2 linked regions of the Notamacropus eugenii genome follow. The protein of the gene in region 1 interacts with the protein of each later gene in a biochemical or structural test. Links are inferred from orthologs where the notes say so. Each region holds a gene or a part of one and is shown on either strand. Other genes may lie near its edges.

Region 1 (7,221 bases):
CGAAAGATTAAGTGACTTGTCTGCATCGTACAGATAGTATGTGCAGAGAAAAGACTTGGACCTAGATCACTCTGAATCTCAATGCATGCAACTTTCAATGACACTTTGTCTAGCCATCTACATTCATGTTAACATGTATGGTATGGGTCAGAGTAGTTTATGTAATAATATCCAGATATTTAAAAAATTTTAAATATTCCTCATCTATATTTGTGCTAATTATGTGGTAATGGCGCAGGAGAAGATTAAGGATATTTGTGTATGTGTGTGTTTTTTTCTCCCAGTAAGTAAAAATAAAACCCATTAATGCTCACATAAACTCTTTACGTGCTGAGATTTGGTACACAGAATGGTGATATAATTGTGTAAGGATTATTCATTATACGTAAACTAACTTTGTGGAATCCCAAAGTATACTTGTCCACATGGCTTTTCTTTGGGTAGTGTAGTTCAAGATATATCTAACAACTTGAAAAGAGGGATGGATTGTCCTAGGAGAGAAAAAAAAATTCATGACAGTTTTTAAAAAGTGTTTTTTTGTTGTTCAGTGGTTTTTTAGTCATGTCCAACTCTTTGTGACCCCATTTGGCATTACCTTGGCAGAGATACTGGAGTGCTTCGCCATTTCCTTCTCCAGCTCATTTTACAAACTAAAATAAACAGGGTTAAGTGACTTGCCCACAGTTGCACAGCTAATAAGCATCTGAGGCCAGGTTTGAACTCAGGAAGGTGAGTCTTTCCGGACTCCATCGCACCGCCTACCTGCCCCCAAAAGATGGTTAGTTGTCTTCAAAGTATAGAAGGAAAATTTCTATCTGGAATGCTTAATTAAAATAGTCTACAGATAAACATTAGGAAAAAAATGCAAAAAGAGGATCAGCTTTTCAATTTGAGATTTTGTTTCTTCATTTTGCTTAAATGAGGAAAATATATTATACAGCTAAGCAGACCCTTTATTAAAAGGGGAAAAAAAGATCATTATTACGTCTGTATCATCTATAGCAATCTCCACAATCATATAGCAGAAAAATCAGTTTACCAGGATTCAAATCTAACCACAGCAACTAACCAACTGTATGACCTTGGGCAAACTACTCAACCCAGGGTGGGGAGCCTGTGGCCTTAAGGCCACATGTGACCGTCTAAGTACTTGGGTGTGGCTTTTTGACCGAGTCCAAGTTTTACAGAACAAATCCTTTTATTAAGGAAATTTCTTCTGTGAAGTTTGGATTCAGTCAGAGGGCTGCACTTGAGGACCTAGAGGGCCACATGCGACCTTGAGGCCCCACGTTCTCCACCTCCAATGTCCTAACCTCTCTCTGCTTCAACTTCCTTATCTGGAAACTGGGGATAATAACAGCACCCACTTCCCAGGGATGTTATAAGGACAGAATGAGATAGTATTTGTTAAACATTTGGTAAACCTCAAAGAAGGCACTATAAAATGCTGCTGCTACCATTGGAACTGCTACTACTGCTGCTGCTACTACTACTACTCTTACCTACCACTACTACTACCACTACAACTGCTGCTAATTACTCCTCCTCCTCATCTTATTACTACTATTCTATCTTCCCCTCTTTCTCTACTCACTGTCCCCAAAATGTAGGTTCTTATTGTTTAGTACTTTCTTATGATTTTCAAACCAGAATAAAGTTTTACAGATTGATCCAGACAGAAGCAACTTTCTGTCCACCCATTCCCCTCCCCTGTTTGACAGATGAAGAAATAGAGTTGGTGACCACCAAGTTGGCAAAGGGTTTTGTCTCAGGTCACGCTGCTTTTTAGTCAAAGACAGAGGCAGTATTTAAGCCTAAGTCTTCTAGTTCTTGGGGGCAGTATTTCTTGACCATGCTGTTTTCTTGTATTTAAATTGATATGCACCTGCCCTGTCATTTTGACAATCAAATAATGTTCATTTTGTCTTCTTCAGTGATTAACGTTATTCCAGAAATCATCTCAGACAAGTTAGACTTTCTCATGTCTCTCAGGAGCTTTTAAAATATATATGGGTCCAGCGTTAGTGAATGTACCGTTTTACCTCCAAAACATTAGGAACTAGGAAATCTATAAAAACATTATATATAGTCATATAGCATATAAATAATGCTAATATTTTTATTGTCAGTGATCTAAATTCTGTTATTTATATACGCTTATTCTTAGAAATGGATGGGGGTTTATTTTGGAATGGGGGGTTGCTGTTTTCTGTGCTTTATTTGCACATAGGGAGGAAAAGTTAGATGGAAGAGACTGTATTAAATAGTGCCTTAAGAGAAGACAGAACCAACTTTAGTATACTAGATCTTGATAATTAAATGAGACGTAATACCTAGAAAGGAAATAAAGGATTTTTTTTTGGTTGAAATTAATTTTGCATTTAACATACAGTTTCTAGTCCAGAAGATTTCACTATGAAAATAAAAGAATTTCCCTTATTTCTTTATTTAACTATGCTACCTTTAAGATATTTTTTGTGTTCTGTCTCTTGCCCCTCAGGCATTCCTTGTTAGAAGGGTCTAAAATGCATAAGACGTGCTTGCCAAAGCACTGCTGCAGAAAGAATGCTTTTTCTGAAAATTATGTTTAATAATACTAACACCTGGGTTTGCACCAAGCTGTCTGCAGCACTGTTACTGTGTGACGAATAGCTGTGTTCTTTCTTGTTGGCGCGGAGGCCTGTTAAAGACAATATGGGATTGTGCTGGTGCTTGGCAGTTTTAGTGTTGAACAAGCCAGATTCCATTTTTTTCATAATTGGTCATCTTGGCATTTGGAAACATGCTGCTAGAAAACAGATTTGGATGTCTAAACATGGTGTTGGACTCCCCCCCAGCCCAAACCCACCCCCCTACACTATACCCATGATTCCAGATCTGTCGTCAAAACTATACTTTGGGATTTTAATAGAACCTTGTCTAGACCTTTTATTTGGGTTATATTCCTTTCCTACTCCAGGTCAACCTATACAATTGCTATTTCTGGTCTGTGAGAAAGAATTAACATGAAAGACAATCATAAATAATTCTTTTTAGAAGTGTTGTTTGGAGTGAATGAAATTGATGACTTTCTATGAATTTTAAAACCTTTCTATTTTGTGAAGCATTTTGGCTCTTAACAAGCATAAGAATATCCCATATGGGCATCCAAATTGCATTAATTTGGGGCAACATTGCCTCTGCATGGTATCTGTATGAAATTAATACAAATCTGTATATATATACCAACCTTTTTGGATTTTCTTCAGTCATTCCTACCTGGCATGTATGAGGGACGATATTTTCTCAAGCTGCGTTTTTATTGCTCTTTTACTTTCCTCTGGTGAGAATTCTCTTTGTAACCTTTTTTTTCCTATTGGTAGCTGTTAAAGAAAATGTTTCAGGGTAGTGGCAAGATTCATAGTATTAACTCCAGCAGTGTTTTAAATTGTCTCCCATCCCCCACATAGATATTTTCTTCCTTGTAGATCATAGTCTAATTATTTAGCGTTAAAGGGAGCTACTTCTGGGCAGTGTGTAATTATATTTATAGTATGTTTTTACTAGTTTGCATTCCACCATAGTAGTCTGTTGATGTCATACATAGCCCGGCAAAACAAACAAACAAACAAAAGGTGCTGCTTGTGAAAATCTGAGACCTATTTCTACTTTCTAAGTTGGTCTTTCTGAGGAGGTGGTGGGGATGTGGGAAGATGTGGGGTTGTTTTTTAATGGAAGGCACTTTGTGTTTTGGGAGAGTGTGCTGTGTGTGTGCGCGTGTGTGTGTGCGTGCGTGTGCGTGTGCGTGTGTATGTGTGGAAGCGTGCGCGCGCGTGTTGCTTAGTTCAGAAGTGCCCTGTGAATATGATGTGATTTAGATTAATAGTAGCCCTGAGAGTGTTTGCTGCTGTAGTCAGCTGTGAGAGCTCGCCCGCTGGGGCAATGCCTTTCTGATGGAAAAAGAGCAGCTGGGAAGGTGCTGTTTCAGGCTCTTACTGTTTAAAAGAGAGGGAGAGGGAGAGGGAGAGGGAGAAAAAAAAAAAAAAAAACCAGCCCAAGTCCAGAAGCTGGCATTGGAGAGGGAGAACAAGGTCATGTGGCTCTAACCATCCTACCCTCTGTCCCAGTGTGCAGAAGCTCCGATTCCTCTTATCCAATCATGCCTGGAATGCAGCTTGCCACTTGGGTTATTTCTGCTATCTGTCGCTATCGTTGGTGCAGTGCTAACAGTTTGGCAGATGGGACAATTTTTCTTGGAGTTTATGTCTTTGATTTTTAACTTCTGGCAGTGCTTGAATTGTTGTCTCCCTTCCTTTCCTGCCCTCCTGTTAAACCATGGCCCATCGGCTGCGGTTTCATTTTGGCTCTGGTCGAAGCAACACAGCCCCTGAATCAGAGATCCTAGATCGAGAGAGAGAAGACGACTTTTTTATGGCATTCCACACTTTGCCAAGGAGAAACAGTCCTCACCCATTCTCTCAAAATGGAGCAGAGTATGGTGGCGGTAGCCTACAAGAAGTTGGATCTCTCAAACGAAGCACATCCATGTTTATCCCTCAGCTGCTGAATAACATTGATGCCCGTCCAACAAGGAGCTCATCTGTGCAAATCTCCCTGCAGCGCAAAGCTGTGAACGGACATACTGATGAGTGCGGGGCACCAGATTCTCTTGATGAGGACCTTCCCTATAAATTTTCAGACCTTAGGGAGAATTTTACTGCACCAGTAAGTAGACCTTCTTCATCCCAAAGCAGCTCCCAAGAAACTTCAGAAAGAGAATCCCCCAGTAATTCTCCACCAAGGTTGGTCAATGATTTAGGACAACAGGTCAATGGATCTAATAATACTTGCAGTCACAGAGTGTTTTGTACTGTTCCTTCAGATAACCAAGGTGATGCTGTCCCCTCAGTTGCCCAGGGTGTAGAAGGCAATGAAAATGCTTCAGGTTCCAACATAACTGGAGTGAGAATTCAGCATCGTGCTTCGAGCGCAGATATGCGTCAGGTTAGACTCTTGCCCTTTGGATCAGAGGTTCAGAACAACCCTTCTGCTCCTGAGCCCAGGCGTTGGTCTTTGCAACATGTGCCAGATGTATCTGCTAGTTCTGGGAAAAGGTGTTTTGTTTTCCAGTTGCAACAACCCCAAGCAAGCACTCCAAGCCTTGGTGGTGATTTCAATTTTGGATTTACTGGAACAAAGGGGGACAGGTTGGTCAGGTATCCAAGAATAAGGCTAGAGAGGAGTACCTCCTATCCAGTCCAACCTCGACCTGAACGAGTCAGCCCAATGGAAGACAGGGTGAATTCAGAACCTCCTAACAATGGGAGGAATTGTCCTGAAATACAAAGGAGTAACTCCATAGAAAGGATTCCACAGAATAAGGGCTGCACTTTTAAGATCAGGCAAGATCAGAATTCCCGACAACAACACTTTAGAATTCTTGTTACTCGTGGTCATGAAGAACCTCACCAGACTCTTGAAGAGAATAGTTCAGACACACCTGCTTCTACTGCAGCAAACACTCTGGTAAGTTGGCCATCGAATGTGCCATGTTCCTATTTGAACATTAGACAAAAATAATGGGTTCAAATTGGGAATTTTTTTTTTTTTGTATTACAGCTAAAAGAAACTTTCTTCTATAACATTTGAAATTTTCCTATTCAAAGAACCTGGTTACCTATAATTTCTAACCTCAAGTCATGTTGCTCTTATGTTCTTGATATGTATCTGTGGGTCCAGTACTTGGTTGGAATCATAACGTTATAATAAGACTGACTGATGTTTTGCAAGAAAATACTTACCAGTTAAAAAGTTTTGTTCCTTATAAATCTTCAAAGGCCCTTAGCTGACTTTATGTTTGAAGCAAATATAGCCATGTTCTCAATTTGGTGAAATATAATGATTTCCCTTTGTCAGTGCTCAAAAAGCAAGTCCATTCTCACTTCATCCCTCCCACCCCAAAATAAACTTAAGCCAAAAATCAAACCTAGCCAAAGAACACGTGCTAATGTTGGAAAATCCATAAGGAACCTATTTGCAGGTTCATCCTGTGCTGGGCCTTTTTATCAAAAGTAATCTGTGCTTGAAAGTGTTAGGAAATAGGGAAATAATGACGTAGTTTGTCTTAACTAATTAAAATGTTTACATTAATACATGTCCCAAAGTTCTTTTCTGCTGTGTTAGGAGTCAGTCTAGTTCAGATACTTTTGTCTGCTTTGATTAATTAAGAAGTGTACTCCACATGAATAGTGATGCAGTACATGTGATATGTTACTTATTTTTGAAGCGAAATAACTTTTTGGACCAAGCATGGGTAAAACTTTTATGGGGAATCATTAATTCTCAGGTTGCATTACAGTGCAATTTAACACTGCCCACTTGAGACTCCAGGCTCAGTGATGCTGTATATAGCATAGTAAGTGCCCTATCTCCAGCTGTGAAAACAGACTCACTCTCACAGACTCTGGTCTTTGCTGCTTGTGTGTGTTCCTCTTCTCCTAGGCTCTCCCTTTCAGTGAAATGTAGCACAGAAAGACAGCTGCTTACTTCACCCAGCCATATGATGACTCTGCAGCTCTCATACTTTCTATCTGGCTGAGCAAGTGATATGGAAACTTGAATCAGATTGATTTCTTTTGTTTATAACCACTAGATTTAAGTGCTTTCTAAAAGAATTCATTCCCTGTGTTTTCCATTATTGTTAGTATTATTTTGTCTTGGAGCATCATGTAGCATCCTTACTTTACTAAAAAGCTTATGTTTCTGATGGTATGTATGTGTGTATATATGTATGTACGCACATAACACTGTATATATATACATGTATGTATACCCATGTACACACATATGTGTATACATATGCATGCAGATATATATATATGTTTTGCACTGTTTTGCTCTATAGGTGATGCTTACTTTCTATTTTATGTGGGAGTTGTGATGATCTGTAACATTAGCTTCATAAATAATTATTAGACTGGTTGATATCCCAGCTCTACTACTAAGTTCACTATGCCACTTTTTCAAGGGTGCAGTAAATGCTTTCTCCTGGATGACTTTATTCAACTCCCCATCTTTGCTCTTTTCTCTCTCAGTCCACCCCACTCCCTTCCTTTTTTACATATCTTTAACCCCTTTCCAGTAAACAGCTGTGGGTTTCATCATTGCTTTAGCCTAAGGCTATCCCTCATAAAGTAGTAGAATAATCCCACAGAAAGGGTTAGGAGGCTGCTGACATTTTAG
Region 2 (7,242 bases), on another chromosome or scaffold:
AAAACCCTCTAGGTTTTCATTCAGGACTTATCCAGAATTCTCCGTGGGCACCAAACAAAGATTCATTTTACAAGATTTTCCAACTAGGTTAAAACATGATATGCAGTTATGCCTGGAATCTCAACCATAGAATTCAAAAATAAAAGGATTATTCTTTTAGGAAAATCCAATACCATGAAACAAGGCAGAGTAGTGCAGTAATAGGACAGAGTGGCAAATTTGGTTTTAAAGGACTTGAATTCCAGTCCTGACACCACTCTGGGAACTGGATAACCTTAGGCAAGAAATGTAAGGTCTTGGGGTCTCCATTCTTTATTTGTTAAATGAGAAACTAGAATTTGGACGTTTCTAACTGGACACACTTGAACTACTTTTTTTAAGTATTTTGATAACTGTACTTCAGCAAAATTGGTTTTCTTTGTAATCCTATTTTAAAACATTATTTTAAGAAGCAATATACATAGACTTCACCAGACTGCCAAAGGCAACCATGGTAAAAAGATTATGAAGCCTTGGACTAGATGATCTCCAAGATTTTTTTTCCTATTTTAATGCTATCTATTATCATAAGTTGGAATCAACTTTGAAAATATAGGACTTAGGGTATGATGTCATTGAAAAATCAAGGAACCTAACTCCTAAGTTGAAAGCTCTACCTACCTAGTCATGGTGATATCCTCGTCATCTTTTAGTGGACAAAGGACAAAAAAAGAGTGGGAGAGTATTTGAAACCCTGTCTCTACTTCCAGCAATCTGATAGGTACAGATCAGTAGGCAGATCAAACACATGGCTAGTCATCTTGGTGTAACTTGTTTTGCTTCCATTCTCATCTTTTATCCACCCCAAATAAAAGGTAGGTAAATTCCCTTGGTCTATTTAAATGTATACATATATATACATACTTATGTATACACACACATATATACATATGTATACACACACATATGTATCAAGGATTGATATAGCACCAAATGGGTAATTTGGTAGTTTGTGGTTTTTAGCAGAAGGGCAGCAGATGGTTAATTAGTATTGCAATGAGCACATTTCCTTTGCAAGATACATGAAAGGCAACTTTTTAAAAAACCAAAACGATTCTGTAATGGTACAATTGAATAAGGATACCTGCTTTCTTAAAACTATTAAAGCAAAAATACAAAACAATCCCTCCCACCCACCCCACCCCCCAAAAAAACAAACGATGAATTAATAGAATTATTTCAGGGAGAAACAGGATAGTTTTATTAGCAGATGGTTCACTGACTGCTGATATATGTGACCACCATTATCTTTCAAGGACAGATTTTTATTTTTATATTGGGGGAGAGAGGTAGGCAAAGAGACACCGTAAAGATCCATTTAGTTGTGGTGACTTGATCTTCCTAGGGATCAGTCAGAGCCCTGGTAACAGGCATCACCTGGTATTTATTGCCTCTGCTCTTGCACAAGCATCTTCTAACAGAGAAATAATATTCTTTTCCATGCATTTGCTTTTGCCCCCAGGACCTTTTGGAATGATGTGACTTCAGTAATGAGAAATAAATCAAAGTCTGGCAAAAAAAAAAAAAAAAAAAAAAAAAAAAAGCTCTCCAACCCTCTCATCTTTTCCTGACAAGCTGCTTGTATTTTTCCAGCTTGCTTCTCTGGTGCAGGGAGTTTGCTCATCCCTGCTCATAATTCAACTGACTTGCCTTTCATTGTGTTGTGCTGGCGGGTTAAATGAAGTGAGTGACTGCATTTCTGTTCCTGGCATCTCACCGAGAGTACATGAATGGAGGACAGAAAGAATGAATGAACAAAATAATTTTGATGGGGCTGCCCCAGGGTATTAAACACGATGGGAAGGAGGTGGGGTCAGGCTGTCATTCCCTAAGAAACACTCTTCATTAAGGAGTTTCTGATGTCATTGGGCCACTTAACAAACCCATTCGGCTTACCTCCTACTTGGACATTAATATGTAGGTTTATGTAGACCACCTATGCTGTCTGCACAATGGCATAATTTTATCGTCAAACAGAAAGGAAAATGATATTTCCCTTTTTCTGCCCATTCCCAACGAATGGAGCACAGTGAAATGCTCTGGATATTCTGGTGTGCACATTTAAAAAAATGCATTAATGTATAATAAACACTGAGGTATCGGTCAAATCCAGACCCTTGCTGCTTTCTCTCACAAAAAAGCTCCCCCCCTCCTCCGGAAAAAAACCTCCAAAGGTAATTGTACTAAATTAGCTCAACCAGAACACAGGGGAATTCAAAGAGAGCTCTTGAAGGATGGCCTTCAATATTTCTGATTGAGGTCATGCTTGCCCTTTACTGACTCAGTTCTGAATTACATCTTCTCCCATGAATTGGTGCTGTGGCTAGAGACACAGCCCGTTACAGGTTGGATGATTTGGGGACCCCAGAGGTACTTCTCCTGCTGAGTGAGGACGGTAATGTAGCACTCTAGACAAAGTGAATGAGAGGAGGAAGAAAGTTGAATACTTCAAACATGGAGAGGGGAGAGAAAGGGAAGAGAGAGAGACGGAGAGACAGAGAAACAGAGACAGACAGACTTAGGAGAAAGAGAGAGATACTTCAAGAGCCCCTAACTAAAGCTACAGTTATAACTGGACTTGATCCAATTATGTTTTTCAAAGGTACAGAATCTCTGGTTTTGACAGAGAATCTTTCTTTCCATAGCCGACCCTGTCTCTAGCAATTCCTGCCCATCCCCCTCTCCTCACCTCCCCCTGCCCACCCCCAGCTGCACCTTAGGCAGGTACTCTCTGCCCTTATTTCTCAGTTCATTCACCAGTCTTCCACACACCGCTTTATGGGGGAGGGCTTGTCACCCGAGCAATATTCCCACTTCAGGTCGGCATAAAGACGCATTTCAAGAAAAGAAAGAAACAAAAGGGAGAAAATCGAGCAAGACCCGTCCTTACCCTCTTCTTAAAAAACTGAAAGGCTGAGCATTTCTTGACTGGGAATCCATTCATGTCTTTGTTGACCATCTTCCACAGCGGAGAGTGCACAGTTGGAGGTCCGGTACGGGGCACTGGCTTAGTGCATCGGCTTTCCTCAGTATCCCTTCTGGAGACAGTTAACGAGGAGAGCGGGGCGGACGCAGCACCATCAGATTCCAGGCAGCGAGTCCTCCCTTCACTCATTCATTCTGCTGCACCAGCTACTGCGGAGACCTTCTCCAGCGTTCGGCTGCCATAGGCTAGATCGTTTTTCTTTTAGTCATTCCTCGATTTCACAAACACAACTGCTACACGACCCTGGTGGCAGCCCACAGACCATATGCGGCAAGTCTCCGGGTAATGGGAACCGGCGCCGAAGGATGCCGGGCTCTTTGTAGTATTATTTTTTAATCTAAATAGGAGCACAGGAGAGACTAGGTCCCTCCTGTTTACCTGGCTGCATCCCTCCCGCTCTAGAACCTGGGCTTTCAGTTAGTGGTTCTCCAAGTGATGTCTTGCCGCGGTTGGAGAGGAGAGCTGTTTTTGATTGTGCCGAGTTCCAGTGGGAACTGTAGTTAAGCAGCTGAGAGGGAGCAAGAAGAGAGAGCAGGAAGGAGAGAGGGGCGGAGGGAGGGGAGAGAGAAGGAGAGAGGGGGGGGGGAGAGAGAGAGAGAGAGAGAGAGAGAGAGAGAGAGAGAGAGAGAGAGAGAGAGAGAGAGAGAGAGAGAGAGAGGAGAGAGAGAGAGAGAGAGAGAGAGAGAGAGAGAGAGAGAGAGAGAGAGAGAGAGAGAGAGAGAGAGAGAGAGAGAGAAAGGGGAGAATGAGAAGAGGAGAATGAAAGAGAGGAGAGGAAAGAGGAGAGAGAGACAGAGTGAGAGACAGAAGCAGAGAGATACATAGAGAGACAGTGCAAAGGAATAACTGAGCAAGGATAAATTAACCAAAAGGCTTTCTGGGATGAATACAAAAATAGTCCCCCTCCACACCCCTCTTTTTTGTTGTTGTTTGGACCATTTAAGTCACAGCCTTAAAAAGAAATGTGCTCACTTCCTTATGAAATGCAGGCGACTTTGAGTTTCATGATTCTCTAAAACAATTGACTATATTTTCTTCAATAAAAGCCTTTTGAATGAAAATATAATTTGATTTATTTCGTGAAGTGTCCAAATGGAGAGAGAAAGGCAATAAAACTATCCAGAAGATTTCCTCAGGTTAAGAAATATGTTTAATCGCAGGTATCCCAATTGCCAATTTTTCTCCTGAAGGTGACAAAATATCCTTTTTATCTTTCTCTCCCTTGACTTGTCACAATAAGAACATAAGACAGGGTTGTTGTATTATTTTTCACTAAAGGAAACAAGAATACCTTGTACAAATAGTGCTATTTATTTGAAGGCCGTGAGTCTTAGAAAGAAATGATCAAACTCCTTTGGACTGTGGGAAAGAACATCTTTTTTAAGTTAAAGGGATCCAGTTAAGTAAAAATAGAAACAAAGCTTCCTTATCTATGCTATTCTGTATATATCAAATGACTGAAATAGAAATATATAGTCATATAATTTAATCTGGCCACTTTTGCTACTGGATTTTGACAATCCCTTAGAATATCTTTTTTGGATTAAAAAACCTCAAACATTCTGTAGTCTCCAAATAAGAACTGTATATATCATTGTTTGACAGGATAGGTCATTAGGATCACAGAGATTTAGCATCATGTATAGGCTCTGCTACAGTGTTTGACTTTCAGCAAATCACCTGACTACTTTGCACCACCTCCTTACCTCATAATCAAAATGCAGAAAATGTGCAAACTTGCATTAATTTATCCAAAATGCAATGCCTGCTGTGTGATACACAGCCCTGTTTGAGGGCATTGTGAGATAGGGAATTGGGACTGGATCTATCCTTTCACTGGTATTGGAGGTCCCCCCCCCCCAGCAATGCAAATCGACACCTTGTCTGCAATTTAGGGTTTCAGAGAGCTGCCTAGAGCATTGGGAGGTTAATTAACTTCCCCCAGGTTACATAGCCAGTATGTGTGGCAGGCAGAATTTGGACCCAATTCTTCCTGGCTTCAAAACCAACTTTTGATCCATTATACCATAACCCATCTCATCCTAGCGTAGAAATATAAAATAAATGATTGAGTAACTTGCTCAAAGTTATACAGGTGGTAAGATAACACAGGCAGCATTTGAACCCAGGTTCTGTCGTTCAGACTGAATGTTGTTTTCACTGGACCGTGGTCATTCAGTAGACTGAATTTTCTGGAAGACAAATGTAATGTAAGCAGAATTGTTGCTTGCTCTCAGTGGAGTGTGTTGACTTGAACTGAAGGCAGCACATTTCATAACCCAAACCATCCATGCACTAATGGACACTCTAGTGATTTGATGGAGTTAATCAAATAGGAGAGTCATTTATTACTGTGTTAATTGGAAAAAAAAATAGGTTCTTTGGGAAATCTATGTTTTGCATCAAAATGACTTTTAAATCAAGAGGTTCCCCATTTACTAACAAATGGAAAAGAGCAGGTTTCTGAAGCAGGTTTACAAGAGAAAGCGATCATTATCCAGTATGGGGCTTTTTTATCTTTTTTATGTCATGGGATAATATTTGTAAAGAACTTAGCACATAGGTGTTTTATAAATGCTTATTTCCTTTTTCCTTCATGGATCTCCTTGACTGTATAGCGAAACCTCTGGATTCCTTACCAGAGTAATGTTTTTAAACGTATAAAAATAAGTCAAGTCAATACACATTTATTAAATATCTGCTATGTGCCAGGTACTTTGCTAATAACTGGGGATATAAAGACAGAAACAGTTCCTGCTTTCAAGGAGTTTACAATCTAATGGAGAAGACTTATGTGAAACAGCTATATACAAACGAGATAAATAAAAGGCAATGGAAGATAATCACAGGGGGAAGGCATTAACATTAAGGAGGATCGGGAAAGACCTTGCAGAAGGTGAGATTTTAGCTGTCCTGAAGGAAGCCATTGATGACAAAGGAAACCAATTCTGTTGAAATATAATTATCAAAATTTATTTTAAAAAGTCCGTAGGCTAAGAACCTCTAATCCAGTGTAACTGTCTTCCTTTACAGACAGGAAAACCAAGGCCCAGGGAGGTTAGATTATTTGTTTGAGGTCATCCAGCTAGGTAGTGATAGAAACAAGGTTAGAATTAATTTATATCTCCGGATTCTTATTCAGTCATTTCATTCTCTGCTACACCATTCAGCCCAGATCTCTTTTTGAAGCAGGCTTACATGGCATATGATTTTCCTGGAATATGTAATATTACTGTTTTAAAAACCCTGGCTTGTGAATGAGGTGGACTAATTGAAAAAATGGTCCAATTGACTGCACTGTATCAGTTAGGAGGAAGGTGACATCATCGCTTTTACTCCTACTTGTGTTTTCACAAACCTGCAGCCTGGATGCCTGTCCCTGGGTGCATTCACGTAATGATGACTGGCACTAAGGAGCTGGGCCTATCGCCTCTGGCAGGCAGCTGAAAGAGATACACCCTCTCCTCAGGCTGCCATCAGTAGCTGCAGAATCTTGCCATTACTGAAACATCACATTCCACTGGGAGCCGGAGCCCAGCTGAAATGAAACTCCCACAATATTTCCCCCTTCAGCCTGAGAGTCCTATTGAGGATGAATGAGTCTCACTTTCTACTCTGAAGGTCAACTGTCCTTCCAATTCCCTTTTAAAACGACAGAGTAATTTCTATGAAACTGTAACCTTGGTGTTCCACCTCATTCTAATGGAAAACCTCAATGTGTGATGAGATCTCTTGAATGATGTGTTTTCAATTTGAAGTGGAATGTTTTTCTCCTTCCTTTTGGTGGTTGATTCATGCCTTTTTTTTTTTAAATCCTCTCCTTCTCAAATGTGGCTTTGGATTTGAACCTGAGTGTAAGGTAGATGAGATGTAAAACAAAAAAGATTAAATATATCTGTATACATGTATACATACATATTTGAAAATGTTTTGATCTCTTTTTTTTAACATCTCTTTATTTCCAGATGTCTGCCTTCTTTCCTCTACTACCCTGAGCTCCCCTCCAAAAAAAGACAGAGAAGAAAACTAGAGCAAAAATCTTCAGTAAAATTAACCATCATATCAACCAAGTCTGACAGTATGTAGTATATTCTGAATATATAGTTTTGCCTCTACCAAGGAGGAAAGGACACATTTTCATTTGTCATTATATCATTATAATTACACAGTATTTTATACAGGGTGTTCCAAAAGTCTCATTGCAGTTTTAAGCTTTA

What was found. The genes of interacting proteins can lie anywhere in the genome.
Region 2: of the proteins of NEDD4L (region 1) and SGK1, one has a biochemical effect on the other in vitro, tested with the Homo sapiens proteins (5 studies listed by BioGRID). The link is inferred for Notamacropus eugenii from reciprocal best matches to the Homo sapiens genes NEDD4L and SGK1.

Annotation. Positions count from the first base shown.
Region 1 is NC_092875.1:431,905,997-431,913,217, reverse strand, and holds the start of NEDD4L (E3 ubiquitin-protein ligase NEDD4-like), read left to right. Parts: upstream 1-4,220; 5' UTR 4,221-4,314; coding exon 4,315-5,505; intron 5,506-7,221. UniProt on the Homo sapiens protein: E3 ubiquitin-protein ligase that mediates the polyubiquitination of lysine and cysteine residues on target proteins and is thereby implicated in the regulation of various signaling pathways including autophagy, innate immunity or DNA repair.
Region 2 is NC_092873.1:220,168,062-220,175,303, forward strand, and holds the start of SGK1 (serine/threonine-protein kinase Sgk1), read right to left. Parts: upstream 3,014-7,242; 5' UTR 2,999-3,013; coding exon 2,930-2,998; intron 1-2,929. UniProt on the Homo sapiens protein: Serine/threonine-protein kinase which is involved in the regulation of a wide variety of ion channels, membrane transporters, cellular enzymes, transcription factors, neuronal excitability, cell growth, proliferation, survival, migration and apoptosis.